Alligator mississippiensis: one gene and its partners. The protein of the gene in region 2 interacts with the protein of the main gene of each other region in a biochemical or structural test. Links are inferred from orthologs where the notes say so. Each region holds a gene or a part of one and is shown on either strand. Other genes may lie near its edges.

Region 1 (8,073 bases), on a different chromosome or scaffold from region 2:
CCACCCCTGCAGTTTTCACCCCACTATGGCTTAACACATACACGTGACATGAGTTTTGTTTTCAAGAATTTGGGGTGCATTTTCCCCTGAAAACTTGTCAGGCTTCATGCTCTCAGCAGAGCCTACCACCCCTGCAAGTGTCATCCAAATCAGACAAAAAACAACAAAGTTATAGATATTTCATTGGTTCCCCATTAGAGCCTATGGCCGGATCTATGAAGCTGCTCCAAAGCTTTTCCGGAAAGCCAAACGAAGCCAGCACTTTGATCTGGACATGCTGCTTCGGATGCCAAAGTGTCCGAAGCGTCTCCGGATCTGAGGCACGGTCTGAAGCCTCGCACAGCCCTAATGTTCAGACTTATGGCCAGCCAGTATCTGGAAAAAAGAAAAGTTATTTTGCAGGCCCTATCAAGTAAAATGGCTGCTGATTTTGTTCAATTACAATTAACTCTCTTAAAAACTATGCACTTCCCCACCATGCCTTGTACTTTAGCCCCAGGCTAGAAATCCACATTGCAGACACTATCATTATGACCAAGAAGAGTTAGATAGACCTCTCTTTAGAAACTGCTGACCTCATTCACCAACTAGTCTTAGAGAGACAAAAATTGAAAGTAATGTTCTCTAATTGGTTGGGGGGAGAGAGTTATATATTTATTTCATCTTGGCTATAACCTTAACTTCCTTCATTGAGATCCACCCACTAATGTGGACCTCTGTACCATACTGAATGTACTTCCATTAAACAGTACCAGGAAAGCAGAGAGCCATGAAATGTGGTTTCCTTACACACTTTAGTTAACTTTACTTTCTAGATCACAGCTTATCTGTCTGACATTCTTAAAGGACTGTTGCCATTGCTGTAGCATCTGAGCTCCTCAGGATCTTCAGTACATTTATTTTCATAATACCTACGTGAGATAAGGAAGTGCTATCATTCCCATGTTATAGATGGAAAGGTGAAATATAGTAAAACTGAATCATGTGGCCAAAGGCACATAGGAAGTCTGTGGAGAGGCAAAGAGTTTTTCAAGTCTGACCTCCTGAGCACCAAGTGAGTACATAAAGCACTGAGCCATCCTTCCTCTTCTCATGACTTGATGAGCTATGAACAGAAACAACAATATAAATAAAAAATGCAAATGACATTCTTCGAATGGTTTGAAGAATTTGTGTTGAACTATTAGCTTTACTTGTATGAATAGTTCATATTTCATTAATCATAAGATGATATTAAGTGGATCCCAATGCACTTGATGTTGTCTATCCCCCATAATTATCTCTTGGTATAATTTGGAGGAACTACTTTGAAAACCCATAGTTTGGAGGACATTTTATCCCATCTAGATTCCCACCAAGCAATTATCGTTATGGTATCTGAGTGCCTTCAGCAAAAGATAGCCAAGTCTTTGGTTTTGACCTGGCTAGGCAAGTTTTTTGAGCTGTAACCTTGCTTTTATCTATTTCTTCTGGACCTGCATTTGGTTTAAAATAGAGTTTTAGTAAGGTTAGATATCAGGATAGTGACATAACTGGAATCCTGGCTACACGGCAGAGACTTCCTTTGATAAGTGAGGTGGAGCCTCACCAGAACAGACTAATCCCTCAAACATGCTTAGTATAGGCATACTTGAGTGAAAGGAGAGTTAATTCACCATAGCCTTCTGGCTCTTGACTTTGCTGCTACTGCCAGTGACGTTTCTTTTATCATGCTGACTTTGTGATGTCAATCCTTGTCTAGTAAGACCTGAGCTGAAGGCCCCTATACTCATTTTATTTAGACCACTGAATGAATAGCTGTAAGATCTGACAGATTTTTAGTTGCTACTGACTCATTGGGCATGTCTGCATGTGCAAATGCTGCTGGATGGGTTTACTCTGCAGTAATTTACTGCAGAGTAAACTCAGCCTGGGCAGACATCTACACATGCAGGCATTTGGGAGCAGATTTGCTCCCAATAGGAGCAGCCTCAACAGGGCTGCTCCCACCCTGCTCTGTCTCCCTGCAGCAGCCATGGGGAGCTCTAGGCTCCCTCTGGGTGCTAGTCCAGGGGCTGGCAGGGAACAAGGCCAGGAGACAGTTGTCTTCTGGGGGAAACTGGGAGATTGCTTCCTGCCTCCAGGAGCTGCCTGCTGCCAGCATGGGCTCCAATGGCAAAGCCTGAGCTAGGACAATGTCTCCCTGCCCTGGCAGCAAGGAACTCCCGGCCCCAGCATCCTGATCAGGGGCAAGGGGCTTGGAAAGAGCTGCAGGGGAGGGGTTGGGATCTACCTCTCCCCCACAGCTATTTCCAAGCCCCATGCCTTACTTGCCTGATCAGGGAATGAGGCTGGGAAAGAGCTTCAGGTCTGGGACTTGTCCCAGACCAGGACAGTTTCCAGCCAGCTCTGGACTGCATGTGGAGACTTCCCTAATAGCAATTGTGGAGCTGGAGCCAAGAACTCCCTGCTGTCAGGGGAGGGGGACATTGTCCCATCCCAAGCGTCTCTACCAGAGCCTGCCCCGGCAGCATGCAACTCCCAGGGGCAGGGAGCAATCTCCTGCCCCCTTCTGCCTGGCTTACTGGGAGCAAATTTGCTCCCACTCGGCCAGCTACATATGCCTTACTGCACAGTAACTACTCTGAAGTTAATTTACTAAGTGCTATTGCAGGTAGCAAATTAACTGCGGAGTAGAGCAAATTACTGCACAGTAAGCAACTGCGCATGTAGATGGTGATGCTTATTGCACAGTAATTTTCTCTACTGTGCAGTGAAGTGTCTCATGTAGAGGTGCCCATTGTCAGTTTGATCTGGTACACCAGAAGTCAGGGTTGTCTTATGACAATTAAATAACAATTTCTGAGCTACCAACACCCTACCACACTGTGTGCCAAGATGGAAGGTTTGACTCAATGGAAGAGACTGTCATTGAAGAAGTCCTAATATCCCTCTGAAGGGAGCTGAATTTATGCAGTGACTCACCACCCATTACTGTACATTATAAAGGAGTTAGAAGGGACTGGCAAACAGTAGCCATGTACATACAGCAGTGTATGGGTACACGTGACCAGATGTCACCTGCTTCAGAGATGACTGATTATGCACAGGTTAGGTGCGTGGGCCTAACAGAGCAGGAAAATGGTGGTAGGGACAGTATAAACAATCATTTTATGTAGAAAGCGGTCTTCCTACAGCATGAAGAGATCAGGAACTTTAGGAGTGTGGTCTATGAGAGAACATGGATTCATGTATTGGTCCTGAGTCAAAATGAAGTTACCGATTTGAATGAAATTTTTCAATTTATAGTAAATTCTCTGAAACAAGGAGTGACAGGGCAACTGAAACTAGTTATGAATTTGAATTAAATTTGACGAATAATTTCAGGTGTGTGCGGGCCGGGAGCAGTCCGAGGCTTTTGGGGGTGCGCGGTGGGCTGTGGCCAGCAGCCCTGGCACGTGGGTCGGGAAATTCGGCACGGCGGACTAGAATTAGGCACGGATGCGTAGCGGTTGATTAAAGATGATGTTACTTACACCGTAGATGGTTGCGGTGCAGGCAGGAAAAAGCTTCGCTTAAGTTGCAGTTACAAAACTCGCTCAAACAAGACCCATAGAAAACTCGAGCCTCTTAAACCCGGAAAGAGCTCTGGATACACACACACATGAAGTTTGCTAGGCTCCGTGGACCGAGCGCGCAGGGAAGGGTACGTCGAGGGATCTGGCGGCAACGGGAGAGGCTAGAGGTTGATCAGGCCCCTATATCCTTCTTAAGGCACACGCTGGGTTTGTTAGGCTCCACAGCGCTTAGAGTTCTTCACGAGATGGATGTGGAGTCCTCCTAAATGAGGTCCTCCCCGGAGATCTCCAACTTGGGCGGAAACCGCTCAAGCCTCTTATACGGCTAGCAAGCCAATCGCTAGCCGCCACGTGGGAATAATTTAGAAACAGCCAATAGTGGGACACAAATTTGCATGCGAATGGCGGGAACTACTTTGCACCGGGGTTTTCTCTATGCAACTGAGAATTGCACCGTGCAAAGAAAGCTCCCCGTGGCGGGAAATAATTCTGCAGTGCCGAAGCGCACACACAATCATACCCTTGGGTCATGACAAGGTGAAAAGGGAGTAAAGAATATTTTTAAATGTCCCAGGATTCCTTTCTACATTTTTAAATGAAATATTTCATTTTGGATATGCTGAATCATTTCATTCCAACATTTTCTAAGTGAAACTTCAGGAATGAAAATGTTTTAAATTTAGAAATTGTTCTAAAATTAAGAAAAAAATGATCAAAAGGGGTCAAAGAACCACCACGTGAAAGAGCACATTTCATTTTGAAGTGGCTGAAGTGTTTTGGGTTGTCCCAAAATGAATATTTTTAGTTTCTATGTTGAACCCCACCCCCACACCCCCAAAACAATCTGTTTCACTTTTATCTAAATCAGTATTTTTCCCAAGTTTTATGTTTGCCCACCAAAATAAAAAAAAACATTTGTCACCCAGTAATAATTGTAAGCCATTAAATGTTTTTTAGACTTATTCTTAGTTCTTAATCAGAACGAACTGCATTCCTAACAGCTGCAGTGTCTCCGGGTGGCAAGAGTTTGTTATATCTCAAAAAAAGATGACAAGAAATTAGTGACAGAAAACCTCTATTTAGTTAATGAATCAGCCCAACTCTCTTTAAAAGAAAACAGTAAAACATTAGAAGGGAAAAACTGTGGTTTGAAAAAACTCATGAACTTACAGCCTGTACAATAACAGGAATCATAGCACTCTCTCTCTACCTCTCTCTCTCACACACACATATGCAAGTACACGTGCACGTGGACACACACACTCACTCACCATATGCACATGCATATGCACATGCTTGCCTCCTGTAGGAAGGAAGAAACTTCCTGGTTTGGAGTGCCCAAGAACTTCGTGTAAAAAAGGGCTTTCAATAAGCACTAGATCCCACCTCCTCTGTAGTCTGTACCCCTCCCTCTACTGTCTCTGACACTGACTTTGAAGGAGGAGTGAGCCAATTGTCTGTGAGTCCTACAGAAAGAAAACCTGCAACTTAACAGCTACTGAGGGAGAGGGAGAGAGAGGCAGGGAGGAAGAATCAATAGAGAAATTATAAAATATAGAGAAAAGAAAAGCCCCTTCTGGATGGGAAAGAGAACACTTTAAAAGAAATCTCAGATCAGGAAAAAGAATCTATTCATTTTTTCTGTCTGGCTTTTTTTCTATTGCAGGAGTGAGAGGCGCACTTTCAAATCTGCTGTCTTAAGACATTTTCAAGCCCTCCTTTTTACTGTGAATTACTCCCCTTTATCTATTATTTTGAGGTTATGTAAAAACAGTATGGGTCGGCTCAATGTACTCACTAGCCTCAACGGCTAGATGTCGCACCCGAGGCCCCTTTCACCCCAACAAGTCTATGAATTGCAAGTTGCAAGAAAAGCAAGTGGGAGTAGGAGACAGCTTTTTTCCTTAGCGTGAACTGAGACTGTCAGGAGAAGAGCACATCTCACCAGAGGGGGAAAGCTGCTGTGGCTCTATAACCTGACTTTGGATCATGTCAGTCTTCTGATCCAGTAAATATCCTCCGGGGGACCATCCCCTGGAGCACTCCCTCCAGTCCTTCTCCCTCCAGTTAGGGTGCTAAAGTGATGCTGAAAAACTGAGCCCAGCTCAGCCACTTGGGATCTGGAGAACAGCAGCTTTTTCCAGCAGCAGCAACAGCCTCTGATAAAAAATCATCCAGACAGCTGCAGGAACTGCACTACAATTCAGGACTTTTCCTCCAAAGAAAGAAAGGTAAGGGAGTGACAGCGAACCTGACATTAATGTAGCCGGGAGACAAACACCCTACAGAAATTAATAGTGGTGTGCATGAAAATGAAAGGGAGTCCAGGACTTTTCTAACCATTGCCCGGTCTGTTATATGCAGCTTGCTTTGCTTCTTTTTAGCTAGATGCAGTAGACCATTTAGGGCTACTAAACAGAGAGAGAGAGAGGTACACTGGCTGGTTACTATGGACAGTGACACACTGGAATATGTTTAATGGATGGTCAGGAGAGGGGAATATATCCAAATCATCATTCAGGTGCTGAAAACCAAAATGTAAATGCTCTGCGGGGCAAGTTTAGATGCAGGTTTACTATCTTCATTCTGTTTCTCTGATCTGGTGCAGAAGTTCAGGTTATTCAACGCCTCACTGGAATTTAAGTTAAATCTCTGGCACTGCAGGAATGCACTTCCTGGCTTCAATTTGCAAAAAGTAGCCTAGCTCAATATTAGGGCAGGGTGATGAGAGTCAGGAGACCTGGTATTTCATCCTCACCCTGTCACTGGCTCACTCTTAGATCTCAGGAGAGTCCTTTAATCACCGCTCGCCTCAGTTTCCTCCTCTGTGTAAGGGGGGGGTAAAATTAATTATCTACCTTTGCCAAACAGTTTGAACCCTGGGCTGGAAAGGCCTATGGAAGTGCAAGTCATATATAGTGGTTTGTTATCCCTAAGTCTGTCCACAGAGTTAAAGGGACAGCTGGGAACTAATCTATTCTTAAACCTTTAATAAACTTGAAGGGAGGATGTAGATTAAAACCAGCTGGTGGTTGTTTGTTTGTTCCTCTCATTCCCTTCTGATTGATTTTATTTTATTTAGTCCATGCCCATGTGGTCCCTTTCTATTTCCCCTTTCCTGCCTTTAATCTTTCCCAATGTTGGACTCCTCTGCGTCCCCAGGGGGGCTTGAATTTAGCCTCTTTCTAAGGGTGGGAGAGGAAAATGGTTTGCTTTACTGTGGCGGTGCAAAGAGGGAGCCTGCAAGGGCAAATGCGTACTCCTGGTACTGCAGCACCCTAAAAGTCAGACTTACAATGGAGGTAATTAGAGAAATGGTGGTTACAGGCATCAAAGGGCTGAAAGACTCTACTGTGCCCCAGACAAAATGCAGGCAGGAAAGCGCGGGAGGCTCTTCAATGAGTAACCACAAGGGAACCAAAAGATTGCAGTTTAAATTAATAAAATCTGACTCTGTTAGGGAAGATCTGCCTGCAGCTACCTCTTCCTCTGACCCTAAGGGCACAGCCATGCCTCAGGCAAAGCCTTATGAATGAGATGTACCTCTCTGTGTGCACATGCAATGCAGTTTTGTCTTGCTCAGGAGGGGAGGCACTGTGGTCTAGGGATTAGAGTTAGGATGGGGGGTGAGAGAGTCAGGAGATCAGGTCTTGTACCCAGCCCTGATTTGTTTGACCTTGGAGAAGCCCTTGAACCTCTCTGTGCCTTTGTCTCCCCATCCATAAATGAGGGATGAAGGTAATACTTTCCTCTCATTCTGAAGGAGGAATTTATTTAAAAGCTTTGAAAACTTCAGTGTTATTGAAATGCAAAGGATGTTGCTGTTGTTAATTTATTCTATCTTTCATGCCCAGGGAAGGGGGGGAAATGGAGCTCCTCCTGCATGTTTGGATAGAAATAAAAAGTGGATAGTATATGAGGCATTTCCCAGTAAAATACTCTACCATGCTTTATCTAGTTTATTAACTGACCTAAACTAATAGGGTTTTCCCTGGTTCCCAAGACACAGTGCTCTGTGGATTATTAGCCTTGACAGCTAGGAATTTTTCCTTCATATTCATCCTAAAACATATACTGCATACAGCTGCATCAGAAATCCCCCTGAGTGAGCCAGACAGATAATAGATTGATTTCAGTGAAGAAAGCTGAGCTGTCTGATTTCAGGAGGGAAAGCTGATAGGAATGGGTTATCCAGTACCAGCCCTAGGCATCCACTTAGAGGAGATGCAACAACAGAAGCTGCTACCATTGCCACACATGTCACTACTGCCACCCAGGGCAGAGACCCTGGTAGTTTAGTCTCTGGGTTATCAATAAAGTGACACTTCCCAAACAGAGCTGTATTAAAAACCAGTGCATCAAAGACAAAACTGATGTGGTTTTTTTTTCCCCAACTGGATCCAAACCTAAACAATCCTCTTTCAACCAGGTCACTTGTTTGCTTTTGGCCTTTAGTTCATCTTGAAGAACAGAAGTCCGTTCTTAACTCTCCAGAAGGGTTCATATTTCCAGTGTT
Region 2 (7,702 bases):
CAGCAGGTCTCCAAGGTGAACAGCCTCTGGCATGTTAGAACAACCCATGCATTTCAATGGCTGATTTTTAGATTGTAGGATCCTTAGGAAAATAAACTGCCCTCCTCTATGTTGTATCTAAACAGTTACACTCTATTTAATAAAATAGTGAAAGCCTAAGATCTATCTACAGTATTTGATTGTAAAGATGTTGCACATAACTGGGAATAATAAAAGATAAAGCCTCACCAATTCCCTTCTGTGCCCCCATGATGAACTTATAGGCAGCCACAAGGTCGCCTCTCAACCTTCTCTTGCGGAGGCTGAAGGAGCCCAGGTGCCCTCGTCTCTCCTCATAGGGCTTGGCCTGCAAGCCCTTAACCATACGAGTGGCCCTTCTCTGGACCCTCTCCAGGTTATCCACATCCCTCCTGAAGCGCGGCGCCCAAAACTGCACGCAGTATTCCAACTGCGGTCTGACCAGAGCCCGATAGAGGGGAAGTATCACTTCCTTGGTTCTGTTCGTCATGCATCTGCTGATACACGATAAAGTGCCATTAGCTTTCCTGATGACTTCGTCACACTGACGACTCATGTTCATCTTGGAATCCACTAGGACCCCAAGATCCCTTTCCGCTTCCGTGCCTCCAAGCAGGTCATTTCCTAGGCAGTAGGTATGCTGGACATTTCTCCTCCCTAGGTGCAGCACTTTGCATTTCTCCTTGTTGAATTGCATTCTGTTGTTTTCCGCCCATATGTCCAACCTGTCCAGGTCTGCTTGTAGCTATTCCCTGCCCTCCAGCGTGTCCACTTCCCCCCACAGTTTTGTGTCATCTGCAAACTTGGACAGAGTACATTTCACTCCCTCGTCCAAGTCGCTGATGAAGACGTTGAAGAGTATCGGTCCAAGAACCGAGCCCTGCGGGACCCCACTGCCCACACCCTTCCAGGTCGATACCAACCCATCCACTATGACTCTCTGGGTATGACCCTCTAGCCAATTCGCCACCCACCGGACTGTGTAGTCATCCAAGTCACAGCCTCTTAACTTGTTCACCAGTATGGGGTGGGATACCGTATCGAAGGCCTTCCTGAAGTCTAAGTAAACGATGTCAACCCCTACTCCTGCATCCAGGTGTTTTGTAACCTGGTCATAAAACGAGACTAGATTAGTCAGGCATGATCTACCTGCTACGAACCCATGCTGGTTTCCCCTCAGCATAATTTTTCCTGCCGGGCTCTTGCAAATGTGAGCCTTGATAATTTTTTCAAAGACTTTGCCTAGGATGGAGGTGAGATTGACTGGCCTATAGTTGCCTGGGTCCTCATTCCTCCCCTTCTTGAAAATGGGGACCACATTGGCCCTTTTCCAGTCCTCTGGAACCTGGCCCGTGCGCCACGAGTGTTCAAATATTCCCGCCAGTGGCTGCGCAATGATGTCAGCCACTGCCTTCAGTACCCTCGGATGGAGCTTATCGGGCCCTGACGACTTGAACGCATCCAGTTCCTCCAAGTGCCTCTGCACCATCTCAGGGTCTATGCTTGGTAGTCTGGCATCCTGCTGCTGCCTCTCTACAATCCCAGTGAGAGCCTTGTCTTGCCCCTCGCTTAGGAACACTGAGGCAAAGAACTCATTGAGGAGTTCAGCCTTGTCCCCCCTGTCCATCATTAATTGCTTATGCCCATTTAGTAGAGGTCCTATTCCACCCTGGGCCTTCCTTTTACTCCCTATATATCTAAAGAACAATTTTTTGTTATCCTTAACTTGGGATGCCATCCTCAGCTCCATGGTAGCTTTGGCCTGTCTAACTGCCTCCCTACAAGCGCGAGCAGAGGAGGTATGCTCCTGTTTAGTAATCTCTCCCCATTTCCACCTTTTAGATGCCCCCCTTTGGATTTGTTAATACAAAAAGAATATAAAAAGGGTACAAATAGCCATGCTAGTGCAATTTTTCTTATTCAGTAATAGTTCTCTTGAATAGCTGCTTGGTTTTAATATTTTGATTTGTTCAAGTTGTCCTTGCAACCCTCTTTACCTTGGAGTTTTTTGTACCTAGTTTCACAGATACTGTATATTAAACATGGCAGAGGTGAGGCACACCTCTGTAAAGGTAATCTATTTTTAAACTAAGTAGTAAGATAATTTTGACTTAAGTACTAAGTTTCATGGAAGCTTTGTGAGAGGCAAAGGTCTTTGTGGGTAGTATCTTTCATTGGACTAACTATGTAGTCAGGAGGGACACAGACAAGCTTTTGGGTACTATGTACCATTCCTCAGGTCTCTAAGAAAAAAGCAGACAGCACAGCTAAATAGCAGATAATGCATGTTTAATATTTGTTACTAGTGGTACCTTTTGTTTTTGCCTTATGTATTCCTTGTTCATTCTTAGGCCTGTTAATTGATTTTATGTAGAAAAATTATAAATAAAAGTTACATAATTTGTTAAGAACAATGTTTTGCAAGTAATACTTTCCATGTGGGGAGCTCAAAGCAATTTACAAACTAAGTCTTGCAATGCTAATCAAATGAACTGAGGCATGGAGAAGTATAATACCAAGCTCTTATAGACAATAGATCTCAAAGCATTTTATGAAAGTGGTCAGTATATCTTATTCCCTTTTAACAGATGGGGAAGCTGACATACCAAAAGATGAAGTGACTTGCCCAGGATTACTTAACAGATCAGTGGCAGAGACAGGAATAACCCAGCTACCCTTAGTTTCATTCTAATTACTGACCACACTGTTTCTCATAGCAGCACAGAATGTTTCAGACAGACATCACACAATCTTGACATATATCTGAACTAATAACAGTATGAGTTATGCACGTATCAGATGAGAAATTCTGTATTGTACTGTAAACCCAAGCAAACACGAACATGAAATAAACTAGAAGTTACTAGCATTCATTCTGGATTGATTTATCTCAGAAAGTTACTTTGTTCTATTTCCTTGTTCCTTGTTTCTTATGTCTTGAAAAGGCTCTATTTCTTTACAGTATTATTTCACTGTTTAGCAGCCTAAAATTTGATTTACTTTCTTCCCTAACTCTATTAATTTGTTCAATCACTATGGTTTCATCTCACTTTCATAGCTTTAATCTTCTCTTTGTTGGAAATTTAAAAATGAATTAGCAGTCTGACACCAATAGTATTCTCCTTCCCTGAAATCACTTACCCTTTCTTCTTTTTTTTTTTTCCATGTTGTCATAATTTTACTTGCATTTTACATTTCCTTATTTAAAGTGAACTGTATATACTCTGGCAAAACCTTCCTCACAGACAGAATTGCAGCTAGTGTTATACAGACATACCTAGTTTTAAGTTGTTTAAGCATTCATTATATAATGTTTGTTTCTCTGGGCCGCATTTTACAGTCAGATATGTGCGTATAGCTCCTCTTAAGGCCATATGGCTTGTATACATGGATCTGAATCCAGAACTGGACCCATTTGGTTTAAAAACAGCATTTTAACAAAAAATACTGATTAAAAACTTTGGAGTACAACTCACATTTATAAATATCAGTTTTTGTTGTTGTTTATAATGATGTTGTTTATAAATGTGAACTGTTCTTCAGGTCTATTAAATGTAACTTTTGGTAAAATTGTGTGTTTACACCTAATGGCCTCAGTTTTGGCTTCAAATGCACATCTACAAGTCACAAGGGCTTAGGGAAGCTGACTGTGCATATCTGACTGCCAAATTTTCCGTGTGTTTGTCAGCATCTTGCAGCTGGTGACACCACATTGGTTTAATTTGTAGTTTGTCTTTTCTTTTATAGAACTAGGACTGTGGCAATTGTAAAGGGAGAATTGTACTTGTCTAAATGTGAAAGCTTTGCCAGTTATTCAGGTACACTATAACACTGGATGGACAATTTTGTTCCAGCAAGAGATCCTTTTTTGGTCTGATTTAAACCTTTTCCAAACCGATGTGAGCTAAACTAAGAAAAGGCCTTATGCTGACAGAAACGAGTTCACACACAGACGTGCAAGCAGAATTTAAACACGCTTTAGCTTGTATTGCTGTAAGCTTCAGGCGTAGATGTGCCCAAAATGAGTCCGGGGAAAAAAATCTCCCAGATACCCTAGCGTCAACCAGCTACCAATTAACTTAGTAGAGGTTGCCCCACCCATAGGCACAGCTAGGATTTTGAGAAGTGGGGTGGCAGATGCTGCAGAGGTGGATACAACCCACTGCTCCTTCCCCAGGGTGGATCCAGGAGAGACGCGAGGGGGTGCGGCCACGGACGGGCGCCCCTGCCGGGTAGCACGGGACCCTGCGGGGCGCCCTGAGCTCGGCGCTGCCTTCACTCCTCCCTCCTCTAGCCTGGGGGTGAAGGATGACTGGAAGGGAAGTGGGGAGGTCCCCGGGGCGGAGGTGCCCAAACCCCCGCCGGCTCCAGTCCCGCGCCTGCCCAGCTCCCGAAAGGCGGCCGCGCAACTGGGCAGGGCTGGCGGGTGCGCGCCATCGATGGCTCGGCGTTCCGCGGGGGGAGGGGGAGAGGAGCCCTGCGGAGCGCGGAGCGCATCGATGGGCCCCGATAAATGTCTGGCTCGGATTGAGGTCGCCATTTTAGATGGAGACCGGGGCGGGCGCCGAGTGAGGAGCGGGCGGAGGAGCGGCGGCGGCGGCGGCTGCGGCCGGGGGCAGTGAGCGCGGCCGGGGGTGGGGAGCTCCCTGCCCCCGGCTGGCGGGATCCCCCAGCCCCCGCTGGCCGGAGCCCCCGGAGGTGCGTGTGCGTATGCGCGCGGGGCGCGGCCGGAGCCCCTGGCGGCGGGTCCCTGCCGGGCACGGCCGCGGGGCGGGAGGGGGCCCGGCTCGGGTGGGGACGGCAGCGGGCCGGACCTCGCCTAGCCGCGGGGCCGGGCGCCTCTGTCTGGAGCGTCTCGCTAGCGTGGTTGCCTCTCGCTGAAGCCGGCGGCTCGGCTCGGCTCGCCTCGGCTTGGCCGGCCCGTTGTCCTTGGCCGGGCTCTTGCCGTCAGCTTAGCTCTGCGCCACGGAGCGAGGCTGTCTGTGGAGCAGGACCGTGGGTCGTGCCGTTGCGCAGAGCCCTGCCGACTCAAGGGCCCGCTGTCCACAAGTTTGATATGCCTCTAGTTAAAGCAGCGTTTCGCAAGGGTTGCAACCCAAAAGTGGGTCGCAGGAATACATGAAAGGGTCGCAAATAATCATGGAAGAACATAGAAAATCACAGATCTTCTTCGTTTAAAGGAGAAAAATGTGGGAAACCGCAGCTATCTCCTTGCAGGCTGGCAGGGGGCTCGCTACTTGAACCATTTACTGGGTGGTGACTGGCCATGATGTTTACAAATGAGTCCTCATACAAACAAGGTTGAGAACCACTGAGTTAAAGCATTCTCTTGCCTAACGTCTGTCGCCCATCAAGTTCTCAGGGACTCCTGCCTGGTCCCACCTTCTTCCTCAGTAGCTTTTGAGCAGTACCCAAACAGTGTAAGGGTCCCCCAGTTCAAGTTGCCCGAGCGTGTGTCTTGGAGGCACTCAGAAGCGTGCAGAGAAGAAGAATGTACTTTGCTCTCCTCCTTGCATGGTCTGATGGCTAAAAAATGTCTTGAGAGAACCTTTGTAAAAGGCTATTTTAATTCCTTTATTTTGGAAAGCCTGCAAATGTCTAATGGATTCATAGAACTGAACAGATACCAGTTGAATAATTGCTAGAGAGATAAATATGCTCACTTAGGGCTTGATGGCAGAAAAAAGTATATACGAATTAATTATTGGTATGACTTTTCAAGTTGCTTGGTTATGTTGGTTAAGTCTCTACCTCTCCTTCAGAACTGAAGTGAATGTAGTTTATCTTAACAAATTCAGTGTCTTTGTGTAAGCAGGCCATAGAAGATACTGTTTGTCCTTAAACTGACACATTTGTAAATTCTTCAACTGTTTCATGAACAAACCTGAACTGTTGTACAGTTTGTGGTGGTTACATGGAATAGCTAAGACTGTTGTCATGTCTTGCTCAAATTGGGACAGTGATGCTGGCTACATCTGAAGTACACAATTCATGCAGTTGATGTCTTCAGCACTAGACACTTTATTGTGCAGGAGAAGTAATTGACCCAACTGAAAGAGGAAATGCTGAAAGTACTGGGAAGAAAATGTGCACTGTTTTTTTCCACCTAAAAACGCATTCCTTTTTATCCACCTTTTATTTATCTATTTATTATATGCTTTTTTTTTCTCTTTTGAAAAATGAGCCTGTTGAGTTTAAATTTAGAAACTATGGCATTCTATCTTAAAGTCTACATATGCCGTAGTGGCGCACTGATAAAGGTTTTCTTGGCTGATACTGGTAGTCTATTATTAACCAACTGTGTCGGCCGCTCCGATAACTGATTCACTTTAAGATGCAACACATTTTGACGTACTGACACAATTTTTTTTGGCATGTTCCAGCATCACATGCATTAATGTCCTGGTGCTTAAAAATAGTGGTGCGCTGATGCATCAATCCATATTGTATTGGCACCAATAAGAGGTAAAATTGACATTATTGCCAATTTTTTGGGGGGGCTGATATGGCAGATAATGTCACTGATAAATGCCATGTGCATATGCGCAGCTGCAGCACGCGCTCAGCCAGCTCGGCAGTGTAACAAAGGGCTCTCTCTGGCCCGGTCCCCCATCAGTCTGCCCACCTGTTTGGGGCTAACCACCTGCCACACTTTCCTGCCATGCCTTGTTGTTTTATAATTGGTTCTTATCAGGTGGAAAGCTGCCCATTCTTGCCCTGATGCCAGGGAGTGCTCTCTGCAGCTCTGATCCTTCCCTACACTGCAGCCCAAACCTTGCAGATGGCATCCAGGTGACATACTCCCAGTCTACAGCCAGACCAAGCTTAGCCCTCATTGTCAGGCCTCATACATGCGCCCATACCTCATCTCACTTAGGGCCTTTCATGCTCCACCCCCTGTCAGGGTCTCTTTCACGCATCAAGAACTTATACTGCCTTGCTCCCTTTTAGAGCGGGTGCATTTGGCCATAGGTTTTATCTAGCACACACCTTGGGTGGCAGACATCACACACACCGGGCTCCACATCTTCTACCCCCTCACTGGGGCTTCCCTCCTTGGTGGGAGCTCAGGTGGCTATAGCCATGCATGGCCCCAGCTGCTACCCACAGTGATGTGGGGGCTAGAGTTATTGAGGCACCCCAGCCTACTTTCTACTGGGGTGGTATCTGGTCTGGTATTTTTGTGGAGGCTCCCACACTGCTGGGAGCCCCACCAGGCCACTCATTCTCAGCAGGGTGCAGTTTTAGGTCATGGCCAGGACCAAGAGCCTTCTGCAGATATTCTCATACAGCAGCTCAGCCAAGCAACATTTCTGCCTGGGCTGCCAGCAGCAATCTGCTCAGTTTATATAAGCAGCCAGTGTCTCAAAATGGCTGCTGAAATCAAGCACCTGCTGGCTGTTTGGCTTAGCCTTTAAAGTGGCAGGCACCAACAGTGCCTTGCCACAGGAAGCGTGCAGAGTAGCATCTTGCTGATAAGTCTGTTGGGGAGGGAAAAGTTGGGGGGGGGGGGCAACCCATCCCCAGGAAGAGTCTGATGCTGGCCCCAGCCCACCGCAGCAGCCTGCCCTTACCCCCACGCACGGGGGGGGGGGGGCACGTGCCCCCCATGGCTCCTCCAGGGGTGCCTGTAGCAGCTCAATTCCCCAACCCTCGCTCCCCGGATGAGTCTGTCACGACTCCG
Region 3 (7,285 bases), on a different chromosome or scaffold from region 2:
GATGGAGGGCAGTACACGTTCATCATAGTCCTCCCCGATGCTTGTGAAAATCCGAGGTAACTGGTTGGCAACTGGTCTGAACAAGATTCTCAAAGTAATGTTCACGTTCTGCAGGTCTGCAGAGACAGATTTGTAACTTAGAGGCAAAGCAGAGGGACAAGAGATATCCAGAGATAACTCTCTCCCTAGTAGCTAAAGAGGGACAAGCAGATTCAGAGTTTTGCCACCTGGCATATTCAGTGGCAAGCTTCACTCCTGCCAGTTTGGTTTTTTTACTGTCCCCCTTTCACCAAGGGATATGATCCCCCAGAAACATAATTTAAGTGCTTTCTTCCATGTGGGATGGGGAATTATTCATCTTTTCATGCAAATAGAGAAACTGTTTTTAAGGGATGGCTGATCAAACTGAAGCAAGCTCCCTTATTACAGATCAGACTAGTTATAGAATAGCACAGTCCATTTCATGGCACATGCTGGATCGATCTCAAGCGTTTGGGGGTCCCCAAAGAGATAATACAATGCTCCAATCTGATGGGTTTTGGTAAAGAAATAGACCATGCAAAATCAAGGCCTGCCATTTTCTTCCCCATCTGTTAGCTGACTTTACTAAGAAATCCAACAGCAACAAAACACTCAAGAACTTGTGATCAGAGGTATTCCAATGAACTACCATTTTACGTGGCTGTAACTTTTTAATTACAGGGGTCCTGTTTCCTTAAAGCACTATCTTGACAGGGGCCTAAGAATTTTTTTTCTTCCCATTACCTTCAGAGGGAGGACAAAGATCTCAATATTTTTGCTGGATTGTATTCTAATTAATAAAGGCACTCAGAGACCATGGCGAATGACATCAATGTTGCTCTGGTCCACTGGCAGCTATGAGACTACACTTACCTTTGCTGCCAGTGATGACAGGAACATTACGCGGGCGAGAACGACAGTCGAAAATAATTGGTTTCTGTACCCAGGGAATGAGAAAGTGTGTGCCTTCCCCTACTACCACATCTTGAACGCCTTGGAGTCTGTCAAAAATAACAGCTCTGTGGCCCGCATCAACTAGAAAAAAAGAGCATAACACGCACAGCTTAATGACAGCAACCTATCATTTTGGGAGCATGCATTCAAAGTATATTTTCCAAAGAGCATACCAAAAACTTAGCAATATTGCTTACGCTGTCTTTCCCTCAGGGGGCTAATGAATGGCTTGCCTTAAAACAGTAGTGTCAAACACACCTGGCTTGCAAAGTCCACCACCTGGACACCAGTGCTGTCCCCCAGTCTGATCAGACCTACACAAGGCACATCATGGCACAGGGCCAGTTAACCAGCTTGATCAGGCCCATGGACCCCCTCCTCTTCTCCCCCTCCCAGCATACCTGATCTGGCAGTTGCTCTAGCCAGTCTGGGAACTGTGCTGCCTGTGACATGGATCCCAGAGTAGCCAGAACAGATGCTGTGTGAGACACAGTCCATCTGAAGCAGCAGCCAGCCTGCTTGAGGTGGCTGATCAGGCTAGACTGTACCACATGGTGCCATTCTGCGATGCAGGGCACACACGATGCTAACTCCAGCCGGTCTAGGATCTGTGCTGCATGTGGAGCTTGCAGGCACCGCATACAACACAGGTCCCAGACTGGCTGGAGCAGGTGCCATGTACAGGGCAGTCACGGAACTGCCAGAGCAGATGCCAAGTGTGGTGCAGTCTGGCTAGGGTGGCCACTGCATGCAGCACTGCTGCAGCTCCAGACAGACTGTGCTGCACACAGCTCCCATTCTGACCACTCTAGGATCTGCACTGCATGTGGTATATGTTCCAGACCAGCTGGAACAGCTGCACATTAGGTATGCTGGGGGAGGGGGTCCATAGGTCTGATCTGGCCTGCAGACCAGTCCCGTGCCCCTCATCCAGCCCACAGGTCAGATGAGTTTGACAACCTGAATCAAAGCAAACAAGCAAATCAGCAAAGGGGTCAAGGATAAAAGTTCAAGCCCTAGTGTAAGAGGTGCTAAGGGGCAGAGAAAATTAAGATCAAGGGCAAGAAAACCAACCCATTGGATCTCCCAGTCCTTAAAGTATCATAAGAACTAGCCTAACCGTACCCTTTTCACAAACACCTTGGTTGCATTTATTTTAAGGAAACAGAAATTATTTCAGCACAGAGCTATTTCCAACACACTTTGGAATCAGCAAAGCCCCCTGATGTGTTTACTTCCCTCTAACTTTACACCTGACTTTGTGAAGTTGAACATGTCAGCAGAAAAGGAAAAGCTCTGCCTCTTCTGCTCACCGTTATAGAGAGCAGAGTTGAGAATTCCTCCTGTAATGGCCAACCCCAGGCCAATTTTCCCCACAGTCTCAAACAGCTTGGAGGCAGCCATCTGTCAATCCAATGCCCGTCTCTGAAGACTCACACCTGCAAAAACCCAGCAACATTGTTAGAGCAATTCTCAACCAAGAGACCACAGCCCCCAGGGGTTCCTCGAGCTCCGTGCGAGGGGGCTGTGGGGTGCCACACAATGCGAGCGCTGTTAGGTTAAGACAAATGTGTTTCACAAGATAAACTCAAGAGATCTATTTTTCTAGTGACTGAAACAAAAAAAGTGAAAACAGAGCTGGCACTTTCCAAGAGGGCCTTGTGTCCATCCAGAGCTGCCCCATGTCTAAAAAGAAGCGAGAACAGCTGCCTCGGAGATGGATTAAGTGCCCCGGGGCCTTCCTGCCTGCCCCAAACCACAGCCCCCTGGATCCCCATGACCAGGGGCAGGTCTGAGCAAAACGAGGAGAACCAGCCCTCACGCTCCGCCTCACGAGGAGCCTCTTCCTCAACACCACTCCCTCCACCTCCCCGGCCACCCCCGGGCTGCACCCTCTTCCCCAGTCCCCCCAGCGGGACTCCCGCCCCCCGGGCCGGGCACACTTTCCCGCCCAGGCTCGTCCCCCCGCAGGCCGCGGCACGCCGCCTGCTCACCTCCAGCCGCGACTCTGACCTCCACATGAATCGCCAACCACCTGAGATGGCGCGCATGCGCAGCCCCAACATATTCGCTTCTCATTGGCTCCCGCAGGTCCGCGGCATGCTGGGACTGGCAGTTCTCCCGCCCGTTCCTCCACGCCCCCGGACTACCACTCCCAGAAGGTGTCGCTCCGCGAAGGAACGTCTTCTTCTATTGGCCGGCGCCACGCCACGCGCAGGGCCCGCTGGGAATTGTAGTCTCGCCTGGGGCAAAGCCACGTGGTAGTGCCAAAGAGCCTGGCGGGGGCTCCTGGCTGCCCCGTCTCGTGGCCGTGAGCCGGGCGCCAGAGCACCTTGGTCCAGATATATATGGGGGGTCAAGTATATGGGGGGATGCTGCCTGAGCTCTAGGACCTGGGAGCTAGCCTGGGGTGAGGAGAGGGAGGCTGCCCCCCCACTTGTAGCGCTCCACATGGGACCAAGCCCTGCCCTGGGCTGAGCCAATGCCACGCTCCCACCTGTGCTCGTCAGCCTAGCCCTAGCCAATGTGCAGCTTCTAGCTGGTCTGTTCTGCTGCAGGCAATGGGGTGCTGCTTTGCTCCCTTCACCTCCAGCAGGAACTGCCCTGTTGAAGCTTCCCTCCCACCTGCCCAGAGGGCAAGGCAGGGGAAGAAGCAAGAAGAGGAACTCCCACTGGAGGGGAGGGGATCAGAGCAACACCCAGGTGGCCGCAGCTGACTGGGTGCTGCTCTGCTTCCCTTGCTGCCAGCAGCAGCTTCTCCGCTTTTGCCCTGGCTGCGCTACTCTGGGTGGGCTGGCAGGAACCTTCAGCAAGGTGGCTCCTGCTAGAGATGAGGGGAGCAGAGCAGCACTGGGAACAGCCTTCCCAGAAGCCAGGGGTGACGCATAGGGCATGCATGTGGCTACACGGGCACCCCCTCAGCGTGGTAGTGCACCCCCTAGAAAAAGGCACCATCAATCGCTGCTCGCCACCCTGCCACTGACACTGCCGGTGGCATCTGTGGGGGGTCTACGATTGCTGCTGGCCACTGCCACCACTGCCAGCAGTGCCTGCAGCTGGTTGCCGATCCCTGGTCGGCGCTCCCTGTCCACCGCCAACAGCACTGGTGGCATCTGTGTGAGCTCTGCTCTTACCACCACTGTGCTCCTGCTGCTGCTGCTGCAGCGCTCCTGCCGCTGCCAGTGCAGCCATGCCCCCCCAGCTGCCGGGGGCACGTGTCATTCATGCCAGAAGCTGAGCACACTAGTCAGGGCCTGGACCAGCAGGCGCAGGTGGAAACGCAGTGTAGGCTGCCCCAGCAGGAGCCAGCAGGGCTCAGCCCCATATGGAACATTGCAGGGGCAGCTGTGGGCCAGATTCAGTCAGGTGGTGGGCCAGATCTGACCCATAGGCCATATTTTGCCCATCTGTGGTCCAGACCCTGCAGCCTGCATGGGCTGGGGGCCCCAACAGAGTCATGCTCCAATTTCCCTCCCTTCCAGGGAAGCCCTCTCGTATTGCAGCACCCCCATGTGCCCTGATCTTAATTCTCTGGAGGGTAAATGGAGCCCCAGAAAAGGTCATGGTGCCTTCACTGCCTCAAAGTCTTTCTGTCTAGTTGGGAAATTGCTGGCCCTAAATCTAGTGTACTGCTTACTTTGCTGCTTAGATAATTGCAGTGAGAAACACTAGATCATGGGGATGAAGGAACAGGGGCTCCCTGTATATATTAAAAGAGCAAAATCATAGGTCGTTGCAAATGTCTATCCTGTTGCTTCAGGAGCGTGTGCCTGTCATATGTGCCAGCAAACACTTGGGCCTGGGATGTTTTGCCAATCCAGTTCTAAAATCAGGACCCGGTTGCATGTTGCAGTATTGCTGGAAGGTTTATTAGAAACTAGTCTAGATCTGTTCTGGGATGGAAAGAACTGAAACTGGCTATAAGGGAGCTGCTCAAAGAGCTTATAGGAAAGTAGGGCTAGAAGGGAGCTCACAAGGTCATCTAGTCCAGCTCCCTGCTCAAGGCAGGATTGTCCCTGACTGAACCATCCCAGCCAAGTGTCTGTCCAACCTGCTCTTGAAAATTTCCAAGGATGGAGATTCCACAATTTCTCTCGGTGGCCTGTTCCAATGCTTGACCACCCTCATAGTCAGAAAGTTCTTCCTAATCTTCAACCTAAACTAGTTCTGTTCCCTATGGCCACAGAGAAAAGCCCATCTCTGTCCTCTCTGTAATTGCTCATTACGTATTTGAGGACTGTTATCAAATCCCCCTGCAGTCTTCTCTTCTCTAAACTAAATACCATTAATTCTTTTAGCCTTTTCTCATAGGCTGCCAATAATTTTGTTGCTCTATGCTGGATTTTTTCCAACTGTCCACATTTTTGAAGTGTGAGGCCCCAAAATGGACAGAGTACTCCAGGTGAAGCCTCACCAGTGCTGAACTGAGTGGAAGTGTCACTGCCCTTGATTTGCAAGATAAAGGGAAAAATGGCCAAACTTAACCTGAACATTGATGGCCTGTTTGAAAATCTGCTCCTCTGTGTCCCAGTGGGTACTGCTGGATGCTGAGCACCTTTGAAAATGTGGTTGTTATATAGGTACTTAAATAGGAGAACTCTTTGGAAAATCTGGCCCCACCCATGGGTGCTGCATGCTGGAAAAACTGACACTGAGCGTTTTGGAAATCTGACCCATGTGGGCCACAGATCCTAGAAAGCACTCTACAGCCATAACCTAATAGAAGAGCACAGCTTCACAGTGCTCCCATTGCACAATAAATTATCCTTCATTATATGAGGGTTCAAATGAAGGTGCTCCAAAATGGAGTGCCTTCGTTAACTTGTGTCTGCTCTGGCAGCTGGGCTGCTGCAGCCCAACCCCGCCCCCAGCACTGTCTCAGGATGGGAGTGGGGGAGAAAGGATGGGAGGGAACCTTGGATTGGAGTTTCCTATCCATCCCTACTCTAGCACAGGCTGGGCAAACAGCAGCCCAAGATCCCTCCCCTCCCTTCTCCCCACTCCCATCCTGAGACAGCACCAGGGCAGGGAGAGGGAGGGTGGGGCTAGGAGAAGAGGCTGCAGAGACAGTCTCTCTTGCTGGATCAGCTCCAAATTGGAGCTCGATCCCCCACCCTCCTGGCTCAGCAGCTAACATCTGTTGGGTTGGGAGGATCAGTCTAACTCTTGGTGCTTTCTGTGAAGTGCCATGAGTTAGACTGGGGAGCTGCACTTCTGTTTACTCCTAGAGTCTTCCAGCATAAACTGGGAAGGGGCACCAATATGCAGAAAAAGGTAATGGTAGAAAGGTGTTAAGAAACTGGTGTTTTCATAGTGGAGGGGAGTGAAAGGATGTTTCACAGAGGAGAGAGGGGAATGCAAGATGTTCTTTAAAAGCAAAGCAATTTTCACAGTAGGGACCATTCTGAGATGTAAGAAGACTTCGTAGGGCAAGCAAGTTATTAAGGTGCTTGGCTTGTAAGTCTTTAAGGATGCTTTTTGCATTGGATAGGTGGTGACTGGGAGATAGATTGAAGTCCAGGGTGATGGACAGCAAGAGATCAGGCAAATAGGTTAATAATTAACCCAGTAACCTTACTAGGGGTGGGTGAGCAGGGCACCAGCCCCAGGTGCTATCTTAGAAGGGGTGCAAGATTTATGTTGCCCAGGGCACAAAATTTCCTAGTTGCACCTGAGTTAACCTTCTGTGGTGTTTGCTGCAGGTGACAGTGCCTAGGAACAACCTTAATGTAGGCTGACCAGAATTTTGGGGGCAGGAGTTAGGGACTGTGCAGTTCTTGTACCATAAGACTGTGGTGGGCTTTGAGGACTGAGGAGAAGCTGACTTGGTAAACAATGCTGGGATATTCCAATGGGGGTTGTTGCAGGTGGGTGCTCAGGAGAGTGCAAAGGAATTTGGTATTGGAAGGGTAGAATATTGCAGTTACTGATAACAAGGGAGCCATGATACAAAGGTGGCTGGCACATCTGGGCACTGGGCCTAGATACATTGCCTGGGGATGGCAGGGGAGGGAGATTTGAAGCAGGTGAGAACCATGTGGCATGAAAGAACACAGCCTGGAGATGATATAGCACTTGGCACAACTGAGTGGTTTTCAGATCTCGGCAGCTGGTAGAGTGGGGCTGGAAGGAAACACAGAGCCATCTGCTGATCTAGATTGTTTTTACCATGCCTGTCACTATGGAGTCCAGCCAGGATGATGCATGGTGGAAGGAAGAACAGCACTGTAGAGTCTGGGGTGTGACCTGGTGCTCAGGGGTGGACATAGAGAGGAGAATCATCTTTTCGAAAGGATCCTGCCCATTGCCT

The links.
Region 1: the proteins of RAF1 (region 2) and RASD2 form a complex in vitro, tested with the Homo sapiens proteins (2 studies listed by BioGRID). The link is inferred for Alligator mississippiensis from reciprocal best matches to the Homo sapiens genes RAF1 and RASD2.
Region 3: the proteins of RAF1 (region 2) and PHB1 form a complex in vitro, tested with the Homo sapiens proteins (2 studies listed by BioGRID). The link is inferred for Alligator mississippiensis from reciprocal best matches to the Homo sapiens genes RAF1 and PHB1.

Annotation. Positions count from the first base shown.
Region 1 is NC_081827.1:101,485,021-101,493,093, reverse strand, and holds the start of RASD2 (GTP-binding protein Rhes), read left to right. Parts: upstream 1-5,009; 5' UTR 5,010-5,788; intron 5,789-8,073. UniProt on the Homo sapiens protein: GTPase signaling protein that binds to and hydrolyzes GTP. Regulates signaling pathways involving G-proteins-coupled receptor and heterotrimeric proteins such as GNB1, GNB2 and GNB3.
Region 2 is NC_081835.1:30,640,078-30,647,779, forward strand, and holds the start of RAF1 (RAF proto-oncogene serine/threonine-protein kinase), read left to right. Parts: upstream 1-4,561; 5' UTR 4,562-4,716; intron 4,717-7,702. UniProt on the Homo sapiens protein: Serine/threonine-protein kinase that acts as a regulatory link between the membrane-associated Ras GTPases and the MAPK/ERK cascade, and this critical regulatory link functions as a switch determining cell fate decisions including proliferation, differentiation, apoptosis, survival and oncogenic transformation.
Region 3 is NC_081827.1:168,772,588-168,779,872, forward strand, and holds the start of PHB1 (prohibitin 1), read right to left. Parts: upstream 3,065-7,285; 5' UTR 2,970-3,064; intron 2,415-2,969; 5' UTR 2,380-2,414; coding exon 2,289-2,379; intron 1,057-2,288; coding exon 895-1,056; intron 117-894; coding exon 1-116.